2 linked regions of the Neodiprion lecontei genome follow. The protein of the gene in region 1 binds, or shares a complex with, the protein of each later gene. Links are inferred from orthologs where the notes say so. Each region holds a gene or a part of one and is shown in the gene's direction. Other genes may lie near its edges.

Region 1 (8,140 bases):
TTTGAATCGTGAACATTTCTTACATTTTTCTTGCTGTATAAATTCTGGCAAGTCTTTTGTCGCTGTACCAATTTCAGGATATTCATCGTACAATTCCTTGGAGCTGAAAAATGATTATGGTATGAATTTTTGCGTAAAAGTTTATCAAGTCACTGTCATAAAAATGGGTGAAGAAGATTTGAAAAATGAAGAAAGAAACTGCAATTTTTCCTGTTTTTACATCTGCGAACAAAACTGTAGTAAAGAAAGTTCGTTGTTGCGTTAATAATCAAAATGCACAAAACAATATACCAATCTGTACATGGCTCGTTGAATTCAATGAATCTGAACGATGCACGCTGCGTGTAACGAGATCGCACGAATTTCTTTTCCCACTGCAGTTCGTTATTCTTTTCTCAGTGGTTAACTTAAAACTGACTCGAAATTATTCTCACCGACACGGCCACATGGGCGTCTTCAAAAATAACGTGGGCACACCTTCGCCTCGCTTTCTATCATGTGGCATTTTCCCCGACGTATTATGGGTCGATTCGCTTGAAATTTCCAATGTTCGTTGATCTCCCGTTACATCATTTATGGTCCGCTTGACTCTGCACATACCAACTCTCGTCCTATAGCCACGTTTACGAACGCATCGCTCGCAAGGACTCCAGGGACCCCATTCAGAGACGATTTCCAGCTTTATACCCATTTTTCGGATATCAATTAGACCCGGCATCCGGGAAACCTGAGAGTGAAAATTTACATCCTTTACTCGATCACATTACTTATTGATTAATTCGAAGGTGACTTGCATTTTCTTATATTTACTTTCACAATTGGAACTTAGTTAATTGATAAAATAAGTTAATTTTTCGAATGATGTCCCAAAGGTCTCAATTTAGTAACAGATCGATTAAAAATCTAATTTATTACATGAAATTATAACTTATACAGCAAAGCGTAGAGAAACTGGTGCTAAATTTATTTCGTGATAAGACACCCAGTCTGACAGATTTCCAGTTTGTCTATAGATTCCTGCCGTGTTCTTGAGTACAGCTGAAAAGATTTTTTTGCACTGATGTGGAATGCAAGAAGTCGACTGATTGTACTAATATGACATCCCCAGCAAAGTCTCCTATTTTTCATCAGATTAGATTTATATTTCTCAAATTAGCACGACTAACGTTCTAATCTGTAGTTATATTTCGATTCTACTTCCTGGCCATTAGATCCGTGGCACTTGTACAGTCCTGCATCCTTAGCCTCGAAATCTTTGATAACCAATGATAATTCCGGAGTAACGTGAATCCTGTTGTAGCTCATATTATTCTCCATTCCCCAAGAGATTTCCGCTTCTGTAGTAGACTGGTAACGGTCTTGTAAGTACCAAATCTTCGGTACCTGATCATCCTTTTCGTTACTAAAATTGTTGTCAGAAAAGTATTGTTTCGTCTCAAATGTTATGTAATTATCAATATCGTAAAGCATTTGAACCTGTCGATAAAAGTGATCTTTAACTTGTTATATTTCCCGCTCACCAGTAATGGCATTCCAGTAAAATTGTCGTATCTACCTCAGCGTCAACCAGTAAATATAAGTCATTTTCTTCAGATCCGATTAATCGATCTTTATCTCTACAGTGCTTAATAATATCAGGTCTTATATCAACATTTTTTGCCACTTTAATGTACAAAAACATTCCCAACAAAAACCACGTGTTTCTCATCGTTGTGGCCTGTCTTTTGCTAAATAATTTGTAATGTGGAAGAGAAACACGTCGGTATCCGTACTTTGAAGTTTATATATTTGATGGCGTTTGATTCAAGTTTCGAAGCGCTGTGAAGCCACGAACCCAGCTTCGTGTTTGAAGTTTCAAATCGAATCGTCCCTCTCGGCATTTGGTGGCGGTGAACTGGCGGAACGGACGGAATCGGGCTATGAATTGTAGTGGGGGTGATTTGGCGGAAATACGTACCCAGCATGCATTGGCGTACGTCAACATGGCGGACACTATTGAAAGTGAGTGAAATTTTCATATTTTTTCCTAAAATTAAGTCGTTCAAGTCGAACAAAGTACAAATGCATAGTAATAATAGTAATCTAGGCTTATGTGATAATAATATAGGCCACAGTTGCACGGATTTCAGTTAAAATTGAGTTTGTAGTTAACGTTTGAAACAGGCACGGCGACGATGGGTTCAAAATTTCAAAAATGACCAATGCAGAATTCAAGCGGGATGACGAGCCCTCCGAGGAACAAATTTGGTTTCGCGGAATTAGTTGACTGGACTCTAAAACGCCAAATCCTTGAATTCCACTAACGGTGTATAACAACATTCTTGACATTTCATTAAGCAAAATACTTACAGGTGCGGACACGCTATGTTTACACACGTTGCTCCCAGAGATTGGTTATGTTTAGCCCAGTTTAGCCCACTCGCATTTGTAGATACCTCAAAATTGTAGACAAACTAGCAAAGGTTAAATTTCATTCAATTCTAACACGAGGAAACTCTCTAATAATTTTTAGCAATAATTCCGAACATTCAAGACGTCGAATCTTTCAAAAACTCACTTATCCAAGTGTGGCTTACTTCAAATAATGCTAATTATATTTAAAAACAATAATTTTTCAAATTATAGCTTTCGATAAAACTTTACTCGACATATCACTGGCCTCATATCGTAACTTATCTGCATGCGAATCCATATTTTGTATTTTTACTTGTACATTTCAAGGCTGTGTGTTAAGTACTTAAGGTATATAAATACTTATATAAGGTAAGTACAAGATTTATGTGTATCTGTCTGTCAACACTTTTGAAATAGTGATTGAATCACTTGATTTATATCATTCAAAAGTCATCGCAACCAAGCAGGTTGTATACAAAGTAGTAAATAAACAAACGTTAATCATAACGCTACGACGCGCAATCAGTGCAAGGACAGGTTTTGTTTTCCATTAGTTAATGTAAGATTACTGGTTGAATTTTGTGTTCCATAAACATGGAAAAATTCTAGTATATTTAAACGCCAAATGATGTGAAACCACGTTTGCAAATCCCGAATGTTGGGATTAGGTTAAATGATTAGTTTGCATTAGGTTTGATAGATATTAACTGGTCAACCTTTTGGCTTACATATGTGTACGTACAATCTTTGACGGTTTAACTTACTTATCGGATATGTTACATTTCTCCTCTTAAATATTGATATGGTGCGATGAAGAATCATCTTTTATTGTCAAATTATATTTTTCAGATAGTTTGGTAAATATACTTAACCAAATCACATTTTCATTTCAGATGAATCAGCGGAAACCTTGCTGTCGATTAAAAACGGTGGCTACCCATTGGCCAATGAAATTAAAAAGGAAGCTTTCGACGATGACCTGATGGATCTCGAAGACCAGTCACATTGGAATAATTCTATGGATGATTCAAATATGGATCCTGAAGATTCTGAACCTATGCCTGAGTTGGGGCCTGCGGCTTTGGGGCTGCAAAGGGTTGGAACGCAGCCGCCACCAAAACCCAATCCCCCAACCCAACCAATTCAAGTATTGAATCGCCGAGGAATGCCTGCGAGGATCAGAAAAAAGAATAAATTGTTCTACGATGACATTCTCGTCAACCATCCACATCATAGGTAGATTAGAAGTTAATGTTTATGTGTTTTTAGTAAACAGACGAAGTACCGATAAAATTCTAAGGCCTGATTTGATTTGTGCTTCTAATGTGTATTTTAGAATTAAAAAGGATCCCAATTTGGAAATGAAACATTCTCCTAAAAGAATACCACGGCCATCCCCAGCTAAAAAACAGAATAGACATGTCAGTGAGTCGAAGAGAAGTACGGGTACGCCGTCGCAGCCATCGACGCCAGTTACTACACCTATAAAACAGGAAAAGGAGCCAGAAAAGCCGGCACAACCAGCATCTCCTGACCGAAAAATTGGACAGAAGATTGGTATGAGACTGAGAAACCTGCTGAAATTACCCAAAGCACATAAATGGGTCTGCTATGAATGGTTCTACAGTAACATTGACAAGTGAGTAATGTACCTGAAGTAATCTGTAATACTTTTTTGAAAGATTTCACCGAGGGTCTTTTCCTTATTCAAGGAAAAATAATAGTATTCTGTAGTTTTCATTACATCACTTTCCATAGGACATAATCTGAGCATTGACTGAAGATATACATATCTCTAGTCAACGATCTGAGTAATGCATCGATATTCAAATTCTGGTACAAATGTTAATCATACATTGATTAACACACTCTATCAATTGAAATTTTTTTTCTCAAAATGGGCAATTAGATAAGTACTATTTTTCTTCTTCCAGAACGCTCTTTGATGGTGACAACGACTTTATGATTTGTTTGAAGGAGTCTTTTCCGCAGCTAAAAACACGAAAGTTGACACGCGTAGAATGGTGTAAAATACGAAGAATGATGGGAAAGCCAAGACGGTGCTCCCAATCATTTTTTGAAGAGGAAAGACGAGAGTTAGAGAGGAAGAGACAAAAAATTCGTATGCTCCAGCAGAGAAAAACGGCCGATATAAGTAGCTTTAAGGACCTGCCTCCTGAAATTCCTTTACAACTTGTTATTGGAACGAAAGTTACAGCAAGATTACGAAAGCCACAAGATGGCCTTTTCACTGGTAGTATCGATGCAGTCGATACCAGCAACAACACCTACAGAATTACCTTTGAAAGAGCGGGTCTTGGAACTCACAGTGTGCCTGATTTTGAAGTTCTGGTAATTGAATAATTGAGCCATATTCACTGTTTAGTGCCTGTTGATCATCTTCATTTGACTTATTTCAATAACCTTTATTTGTTTTCAGTCAAACGAACCACCAGAAACCATTAGTGTAGCTTCGTTCGCGCAAAAGTTTAGACCTCGGATGGTGCAATATGTGCCATCACCTCCCTATGCAATGAAATTAATGTCACCCAGATTAAATAATGACCCTTTAATATCCAACGCCTCCGTATCACTCCCAAAAAAATCGCATATCGGTGGTACGATGAATGGCTATCCCTTAAAACTGTTAGAGTTTATGGTAAAAGTTGACAAAATATTAGCGGCAAAGAAAATCAAGATAAAGAAACTGAAGGAAATGAACAGTGAGGCGGAAAAGAGACGGTCTTTCGGTGAGCCTTTGCCAGCTGACTTTGAGAGAAAATATGCAGGGTAAGAATTTTGCTTAGTAATGTATTGAATAGAAACAACGAACGGATTAAAAATAAAATTTCTTTGTGATTACAGGATAGTAGTTGAACTTGAAAAGATGAATGTAGCGCTTCAAGATTTCTTGAACGACGTACAAGAGTTATGTCAAGAAATGGCTCCGGAACCAAGCGTTGCTGCTATGCTGGCTCCTTCTCATTTGCGGGAAAAGTGCCATCAAGAAGCGGCCGATATGGTTGCTAGAAATGATGTCATTAACGATAGGGCACCAGCAAAGATGAGCGAACTTGTCACAGACCTCACTGCTCTCATGCTTCAAGTAAAGGTAAATCTTGTTCCTAGTTTTACTCCACTTTTCACAACAAAATCTTCCTCAAATTCTCCCAATACGTAGAATTCCAGCAAAGAAATGCAGATTTCTTTCCAAAAGTCATAATATCCAATTCTTTTCACAGAGCTTGTCGGATTCTGATCGAAATGCCTATGAATTGAAAGTACTTCAAGGAACCATGGAGCAAATTAGATCGAAACTGAGTCCTCAAAATCAACAAGTGTTTCAAAACTGCGTTGAAATTCATATGCAGCATATTCAACTTGGTTTGGGAAAAATAGGGGCTTTAACGCCATTTATGTCTCAAAAAGTTTAGTATTAACTTTGTTGAATCATCATACTCTTAATGAATGGCAGGCAGTAATTTTCAGACGCGTGCAAGAGTATTCTGTAATCTAATGAGAATTTATTCGAGGAAAATAATAGTTGTACTACACTTGCACGCTTCTACTTACTGTAATGATTTGATGTGCGCCTGTCGTCACTGTTCAACTAAAAGTTGATTCACGCTATCCAGCATGGACCAGTACGACCTGGAACGAACATTTATCGGAATTTCCACGGCATTCCTACGGAACAAGCACCCACTAAGCAGCAGTTAATCACAGGAGGATCAATGGCCAAATCTCTAAGCGTCAGCGATTTGGCTGTTATGGAATTACTTCTTGACGAGAACATGTAGTGAAAGCTAAAATATGTCTACGAATATAGGTGCAATGAATATTTAATACAAAATCAAGAAACGACACACATTGGATACGTTTGATTTAAACAATTGATGAAGTACGAAGAAAATTTTTATTAATAGATAGTTTTGTTACAGCCCGTGTTGTATGATGTGAATCAATCTTTACTATCCAATTGTATAGACTCCTTCATCGTTCATCAGGCATACTCATAGTTCATACATTATATCTACATTTTGTTTTTTGTTTTATAAAAAGACAAGAAGTACGAGGAATTGCAGTTAGAAATGGTAATGAATTTTGAACTAACGTGGTGTAAGCATTGTCTACACCTTACACGGAATGATTCTTCTGATCTTTCTGCAATAATCAATATTTTCTTGACATTATCAGCAAAAATTTTTACTCAAGTCATTTACTTTGAATTAAATGTCTACATAATATATCTAGTATCTTATTGTGTACTTTATAGAGGTGTAAAGTGGTGTGATAAATGCAATGGCAAACATTGTTGCCCGTTGCAAAATTTTGTATGCATCACTTCGGTAAAAATAGAAAAGATCTTTTTTTTTTTTCGTCCGTATTTCTGCACCACTGCTAACGTTCAATTACACAGTTAATACTTGCGTTGAAAATAATTATGTATTTACTTACAATTACAAATATATATCTTAGGATTAAAACATTTAGTAATAATATTAAATAGTAAAAGAAAAATATTATGAAAAAATTGTAACTAGAAGAATGTTGTGTTGAATACTTGAGACGATTGAAAATATTTAATTACTATTATACACGTTCATACCCTAATAATAAATGGAGAAATTAATATTTTACGGAAATTAAAAGGTATGAGGAAATGTAGAATATTACGAGTTGCATATATTATACAGGCGCTATAAATTGTATCTAAAATAATAGATGAAACATAATTTGAGATGGAGACGTTCTAAACAGATTTATATATCCCTGAATTGTTGCTTTTTGAGGGAAAGGATACTCAATGTAATTCAACTACATGTAGCGGTATAATTTCAGATGCTTTATTTATATACAGTTAATTATTTAACATGGGGATTATGTAACAGTGTACTTTTATTCGTATCAAAGTATCGTGGAAACTCACTATAATTCATTTTATTCCCGTAATATTTATTTCAACACAAGTAAAAAGTAAAATTTTACGGAATAAAGGCTAATAATAAATTCACAGCAACGCGCATCTAAGACTTTAATACAAAAAAGTTGACCTAAAGTATTTTGAATATCCGATGTATTACTGGTCAATGATGAGAGTTTATTCGTTTCAATTTTTGTTCAACTGACGGTCGCGTATCATCGTTGGTTACTCATCTGTCTGAAAGAGTTAATTATATTTTCGATTAGTACTAACAGATACAGACGTTGTAATGTTCGGTCACATGCATTACTAGATCCATTTGCATTTACGTTAACACGTCATCACCCACGATACGACACTATTGTCGATAATAGAGCATAGAATCCATTTTACATAGATTCATTTTCTGTCTCTGATAACTTAAGTAAGTTACTATTTCTTATCGCCACTTAAAAAAATTTCTTATCTACAGTAACAATTTGGAGGAAGTGTCGGTAAAATTTTTTTTGCAGTATTTATAATACCAAGACTAAACGATCTCATATATAAAAGTGGCTTTTATTCTTTCTAAAATCAAATGAGGTGAACAGGGAGTATTCCTGTAATGAGTTTAGCAGAAACCACTTATTTGTGTATAACTCATCAACATATAAACGCGTCCGAGTTCAATTTGTTCCGAATGCGTATTCGCGTGATTTATTTGAAGCTTGAATTCGTTTGTTGCAATATTCCAATTATTGATCACGATTGTGATCATTGTGTAAATGTAAAACTGACGAGACTGTATTCTACTTGCGTATTATTATCTATATCAATAGTACT
Region 2 (5,020 bases), on another chromosome or scaffold:
TAATGGTTACAGTTACAAAACTCATTTTCATTTTGTGCCCAGGGCTGCAATATGTGTTCGGTAATGGTAAAAAACGACGATATTTAATAACTGTAGGGTAAACTGGAAATTTCTCTCGTTGCATGCAGACGGCTTCGTACATATATGTATATTTTAATCGATAATTGCGAAGGTAAATAGTTCTAGCGGTATCGGATCGTCTGCCGGTGAATTGTCACGACGAGGAACATGCAATGTTTGCCTAATTGTTGTATTATGTTTGCCAATATATCAGACAGAAAACATCGATCGAAGCGAGCAACGCTCGGGGGTACAATTTGAATTCTGAAAAATTGCAAAGCTGTACGCGAATAATACTCGATACATGAAATTGCTGAACAAATGTTTGTTCGCAGATGAGTCCCGACTTTCTGGTACCGACGTCGACTAGCCGTCTTCAAGAACATTTCGCACCAGAACAAAACTGTAGCGAAGCGCCGCGAAACGTTGCATCAACGTTTGATCAAGATGCGAGAAGAAGAGACGAAACAAAGTATACCAGCCCTCCGGAACGATGCATCAAGTCGACGATGTTCACGATCGACAACATCCTGAGAAAGTCACCGGCGCCAATTGTCTCCAAGGCGACTTCAGTGACGAATGAACTCATAGAAGATATAAAAATCGACGATAAAAACTTTTCTCTGCGGTAGGTGCGGAAGAAGAAACGGAATGACGTAATATCTTCTCAACCTGCGGACACCGATTATTATCTATTATTTATAAAATTCAAGAATTTTACTAGGAATTTGTCAATCTTCGAATTCTTATCGTCCAGGTATAAATACTACGGTAAGGAATTGTATGCAAATTTCTGAGGTATCCGCTTTGTGCTGATGGATATGATCGCACACAAATGTAGTGATGTATGCTTTCGTATATCAATTTGCATACGCTTATACGCGATCGGAGACAATCTGACCTAAAATATGTAATTTTACATCATCGCTGCATTTTTATAATGAGAATTAATTCGCAATTATCACTGCGATTGAAATTCTTGCAAATTCGTTTGTCCGAAAATTGACGTGTAGAATTTCGTTAAAGTTTGCCATCGTGCCTACTTTTCGTAAGAAAATATCCCGCAATCGTTCTTGCAAAAAAGAAAAAATCATGGAAAATATGCGCGAGAATTTTATTAAAATGTCAGAACTGGGAATGAAATGATTGTAGGAAAAATGTCTGAGGATCATATCGCCTTCAAATGAATATTAAATCTTATTTATTGTATCAGAGGTTTTATTAAAATCATAATCACACGTCTCACCGAAATGTCAACATACATTGTTTACGATTCATGAACACATCCATAGCTTATCGTCCATAAATTATCACCGAAATGAAAGAATATCTGGGTTTATAATCGAGGACAAAAAAAAAAAATATATATACCCGTACAAATATATCTCACAGCTAGGAAAAGCATCACTGGAATAAATATTCCTTCGTTTTTATAGGGTTATACGTGAAATATTGTTATTTGGCGCAGAAATGTGATTGTAACTAGCACACAATACCCACCGTGAAATAACATCGCTAGGCGAAAACGGTATAACGTTTGCAGTGGATAAAACTCGCGGTTATATACATGTGCGCGGTGGTGTTTAGGGATTATTTAACGACTGTTGCGATCACACATGCCAATGTTTGTTTCTTCAAAGGCGCAGTTCGAATGTTAAATTTCAAAACAAAAGTAGTTGAACGTCAACATGATTTTCTCGGAAATTCAATAAATCACGCACATCACAGCCTATTCGCCGTGGCAGGGAAGCCGTGCCACATCTCTATCGCTCTCTCTTGATGTGGATTTAACCGCTTAACTGCCAACATTCTGCCACGACGCACCGCCAGAGTTCTCTTCGCACTTTCCTCGTTGCTGGAATAATCCGGGCGTACATCACAGGCGTCGTCGCTGTACAAGATGCAGATAATTACCGGAAGCGAGAATTATTCGGTAATATTGAACAGAGATTGTTATTTTTTTTTTTGTAGCTGTCAAATGTTTTTACATGGATAATATTAGATTACACTCGATAAATCTGGGGTTGGAATGATTCGTAACGAAAAATGCTTTTTACAAACATATATTTGGCATTTTAGCGACAACGTCGAAAAAGGTTCAAAAAGTTTTAAACTTATGAAATTCGAATTTTATACAAGCATTTTATTAAAACCGTAAAACGAACTCCAAAGATTTGGACTATCTGGAATATCTAAATTTTATAGATAAATTATTTTGCATATATAATACTTAGTTTTTAATGGAATAACATTTTTTCCTAAATGTATACCTACAATGCTTTTGTGCTAAAATAAATCCTTAGAAAACGATACCACCCAAATGTATGACTTCATCAAAATTTAACACACCCCTTTGACAAAACCCTTGCATAACGTCAATTAACACCGGTAATATTTCTAAACAGAGAAAAACAAACTGTTGATACAGGCATCCCTCGATTAAATCCTTATATGCACTTTGATCGTAATAAATTGTAACAAGTGCAGTAAAACTTACATATCAAATTCTCACATGTACGACAATTTTGGTGCCTATAACTTATTTGACTTATGCTTTCCTCGGTGTAATATCTACAACAATGTTCACAGTAATAGAAAAAATGATAATTGTGTCTACTTTTTACATATAGAACATTCACTCACGATCTTTTATGAATTCACATTCACATCCTAAGTTCCATGAAATTTGAATTTCCGAAAGTTAGGTGTCATATATATCAAAATATAAATTTTTCTCTATATTTATATCTCAAGTATTCATAGTAATTTCATCGTTTGCCTACAATCGAGAAGAAACTATAAATATTTTTTCGGAATTGTTTATTTACCGTTAGAATGGATTAGTGAAATGAATTTGACCTGTTGCAGCGTTTACTACCCTTATAGGAAGGTAACAAAATCTGATCAATCTTAATGTTGAAATCACTACTTAGAAAAATAATGAAGCCTCATATATACATTAGTGTGCAATAAACAAAATTTTATTTCTTTCATTGTTTCCCATGTAAAAAATGAATGAAACGACGCTTCTTATAATACATGAAAGCACTGATTTTTTATATGGGAAATGATAACAGAAAAAAAAACATTTATTTGGCACACCCTAATGTACATATGTATATATATTCTTTGAAGGTAAAATAGTTGCAATGACTCTTGCTGGTCTATACAAATTATACTTGTTTCTAAACTCCCTAATGATGAAAAAAAATATATGCGATGAATACTTTACAAATACAGCTAATCGCTGTTACACATCACACTGTATCTGAATTTTTTTCAGACTGCAAATGCAAGCACTTATCTTGACGAAATTTGACATGCATGTTCTTTATTGTTAATAAATTAGTTTCCGATATAAGGCTCCGCGTATACATAATGAATTTAATTTATACATGAAAACTGTCAGTCATCGAAATTTGCTACTATGAAAAATTCCAAATATAGTAGACTTTAGAAGCAACGTGGTGTCGGACAAACTTGTTGGATTGGGGCGGGGGCAGGCTCCATTCTATTTACTCAATATCTCTATAACTGCGCGGCCATTTTATCAGGTTCAAGCTGTACCTTTCAGAGGGCTCAAAATCGTTGATTCGAAATTCTAAATAATTACCTGGTGAACTGTTTATCATAATGATTTAAAAGCACAAGAAAGAATTGGATTGTAAATTGTTAGGATTATACAGTGAGATCAAACCCACAAACAATATCGAATTAAGTTTTCATGGAAGCCATTTAGTAGAGATTCGTGGAAACCTAATACGATAGTGCTGGTTCGTTTCATTTTCGAGTATAATTATAGCAAAAAATAATACAATTTCTTCTGGTAATTTTCAACAATTATAATAAACAGTTTACCACTTCTTTATTTCAAGCTTCAAGTGCGGGAAATTTCTACGCATTACTTCGTTCAGGGAGTTCAAAATGACACGTAAATTTCACAAAGCTTAAGCAAAATAATGATAAAAGATGTTACGTTTTGGTTAAACAGCTCATGGGAGGAAGTTTCGGTGGATTGTGTCGAAAAATCATGCACTCTCCGGATATTTTTTGCCAAATACATGACTTCTCAGAGTTTTGAGCATGGTGTCTGTTTTTACCGTACTGTGCAGCGTTATTCGACTCTCGCGATCACGAACATTTAGTCAAGAGACCACGTTTCTGTCAAATCACGGATTACTTTTGCGTTACTCTGTAAATATGCCTTTAATCATTCTTCACACCGCTCTAGTATCTAAGTATCTATACTCCTGACAAGTTAAAGTGGTATAAATGCAGAAATTTCATCGAAGCAGTAACGGCCGCAGCTAAGCATTCGGATTTTTGCGCATCAGTTCGAGATCAGCTTTCATCATATCCTTCACCAGTTCCTATATGAAAGTGAATTTTCCAAAAAGTTTAATTCTGATTGGTAATTTTCAGTACTGGCTAAGCTGGTGACAGCTCGAAATGTTCCAATGATAAATCAGAATAACTTATTCAAATACATACTTCGAATTTAACTGTGGGCTGCCATCCAAACTTTTCTTTGGCTTTTGAAGCATCACCCAGCAGTAAGTCCTGCGTTATGAATCAAGATGGAACATTTTAGAATAGATGTTAAATGCTCAATATTTACTTAATATCTTGGTGATGGAAATAAGGATTCTTACCACTTCGGTTGGACGGAAGTATTTTGGATTAACCCGAACCAGGAGCTGCCCAGAAGCAGCATCGCGACCAATTTCGTTGACACCCTCGCCCTCCCATTTAATAGTTCGACCAATGTAATTAAATGAGGCTTCAACAAACTCTCTGACACTGTGAGTTTCACCAGTTGCTATAACAAAGTCATCTGCGACCGACTGTTGTAGCATCAGCCACATTGCCTGAGAATTGTTAATTGTAAAACAATTTTTAAATTCTTATTGAAAAATCGTCAAGAATTACTCTGTAGTTTAGATCCGAGTGTACAAAATTC

What was found. The genes of interacting proteins can lie anywhere in the genome.
Region 2: the proteins of protein lin-9 homolog (region 1) and protein lin-37 homolog are in contact, whole or in part, in a crystal structure (PDB 7N40), measured with the Homo sapiens proteins. The link is inferred for Neodiprion lecontei from reciprocal best matches to the Homo sapiens genes LIN9 and LIN37. Residues at the interface, in NP_001353174.1 of Homo sapiens: Lys99, Ala101, Ser102, Gln103, Lys104, Ile105, Gly106, Arg108, Leu109, Arg110, Leu112, Leu113, Lys114, His119, Trp121, Cys122, Ile123, Glu125, Trp126, Phe127, Thr227, Leu237, Phe238, Leu272, Ser273, Asn274; in NP_061977.1 of Homo sapiens: Tyr95, Ile97, Leu99, Phe100, Asp101, Arg102, Val104, Leu106, Ala107, Phe109, Ser110, Glu111, Asn112, Thr113, Pro114, Leu115, Tyr116, Ile118, Cys119, Arg120, Trp122, Met123, Asn125.

Annotation. Positions count from the first base shown.
Region 1 is NC_060265.1:9,410,781-9,418,920, reverse strand, and holds protein lin-9 homolog, read left to right. Parts: upstream 1-1,848; 5' UTR 1,849-1,919; coding exon 1,920-2,001; intron 2,002-2,048; exon of another isoform or gene 2,049-2,351; intron 2,352-2,625; exon of another isoform or gene 2,626-2,763; intron 2,764-3,287; coding exon 3,288-3,630; intron 3,631-3,730; coding exon 3,731-4,033; intron 4,034-4,328; coding exon 4,329-4,746; intron 4,747-4,834; coding exon 4,835-5,184; intron 5,185-5,259; coding exon 5,260-5,506; intron 5,507-5,636; coding exon 5,637-5,822; intron 5,823-6,029; coding exon 6,030-6,194; 3' UTR 6,195-7,768; downstream 7,769-8,140. UniProt on the Homo sapiens protein: Acts as a tumor suppressor. Inhibits DNA synthesis. Its ability to inhibit oncogenic transformation is mediated through its association with RB1. Plays a role in the expression of genes required for the G1/S transition.
Region 2 is NC_060262.1:22,748,188-22,753,207, forward strand, and holds the start of protein lin-37 homolog, read left to right. Parts: upstream 1-1,884; 5' UTR 1,885-1,936; coding exon of another isoform or gene 1,937-1,951; 5' UTR 1,952-1,960; coding exon 1,961-1,993; intron 1,994-2,107; exon of another isoform or gene 2,108-4,367; coding exon of another isoform or gene 4,368-4,430; intron 4,431-4,551; coding exon of another isoform or gene 4,552-4,620; intron 4,621-4,712; coding exon of another isoform or gene 4,713-4,928; intron 4,929-5,020. Other genes in the region: fork head domain-containing protein FD2-like, read left to right, coding at 396-692; GDP-mannose 4,6 dehydratase, read right to left, coding at 4,368-4,430, 4,552-4,620, 4,713-4,928.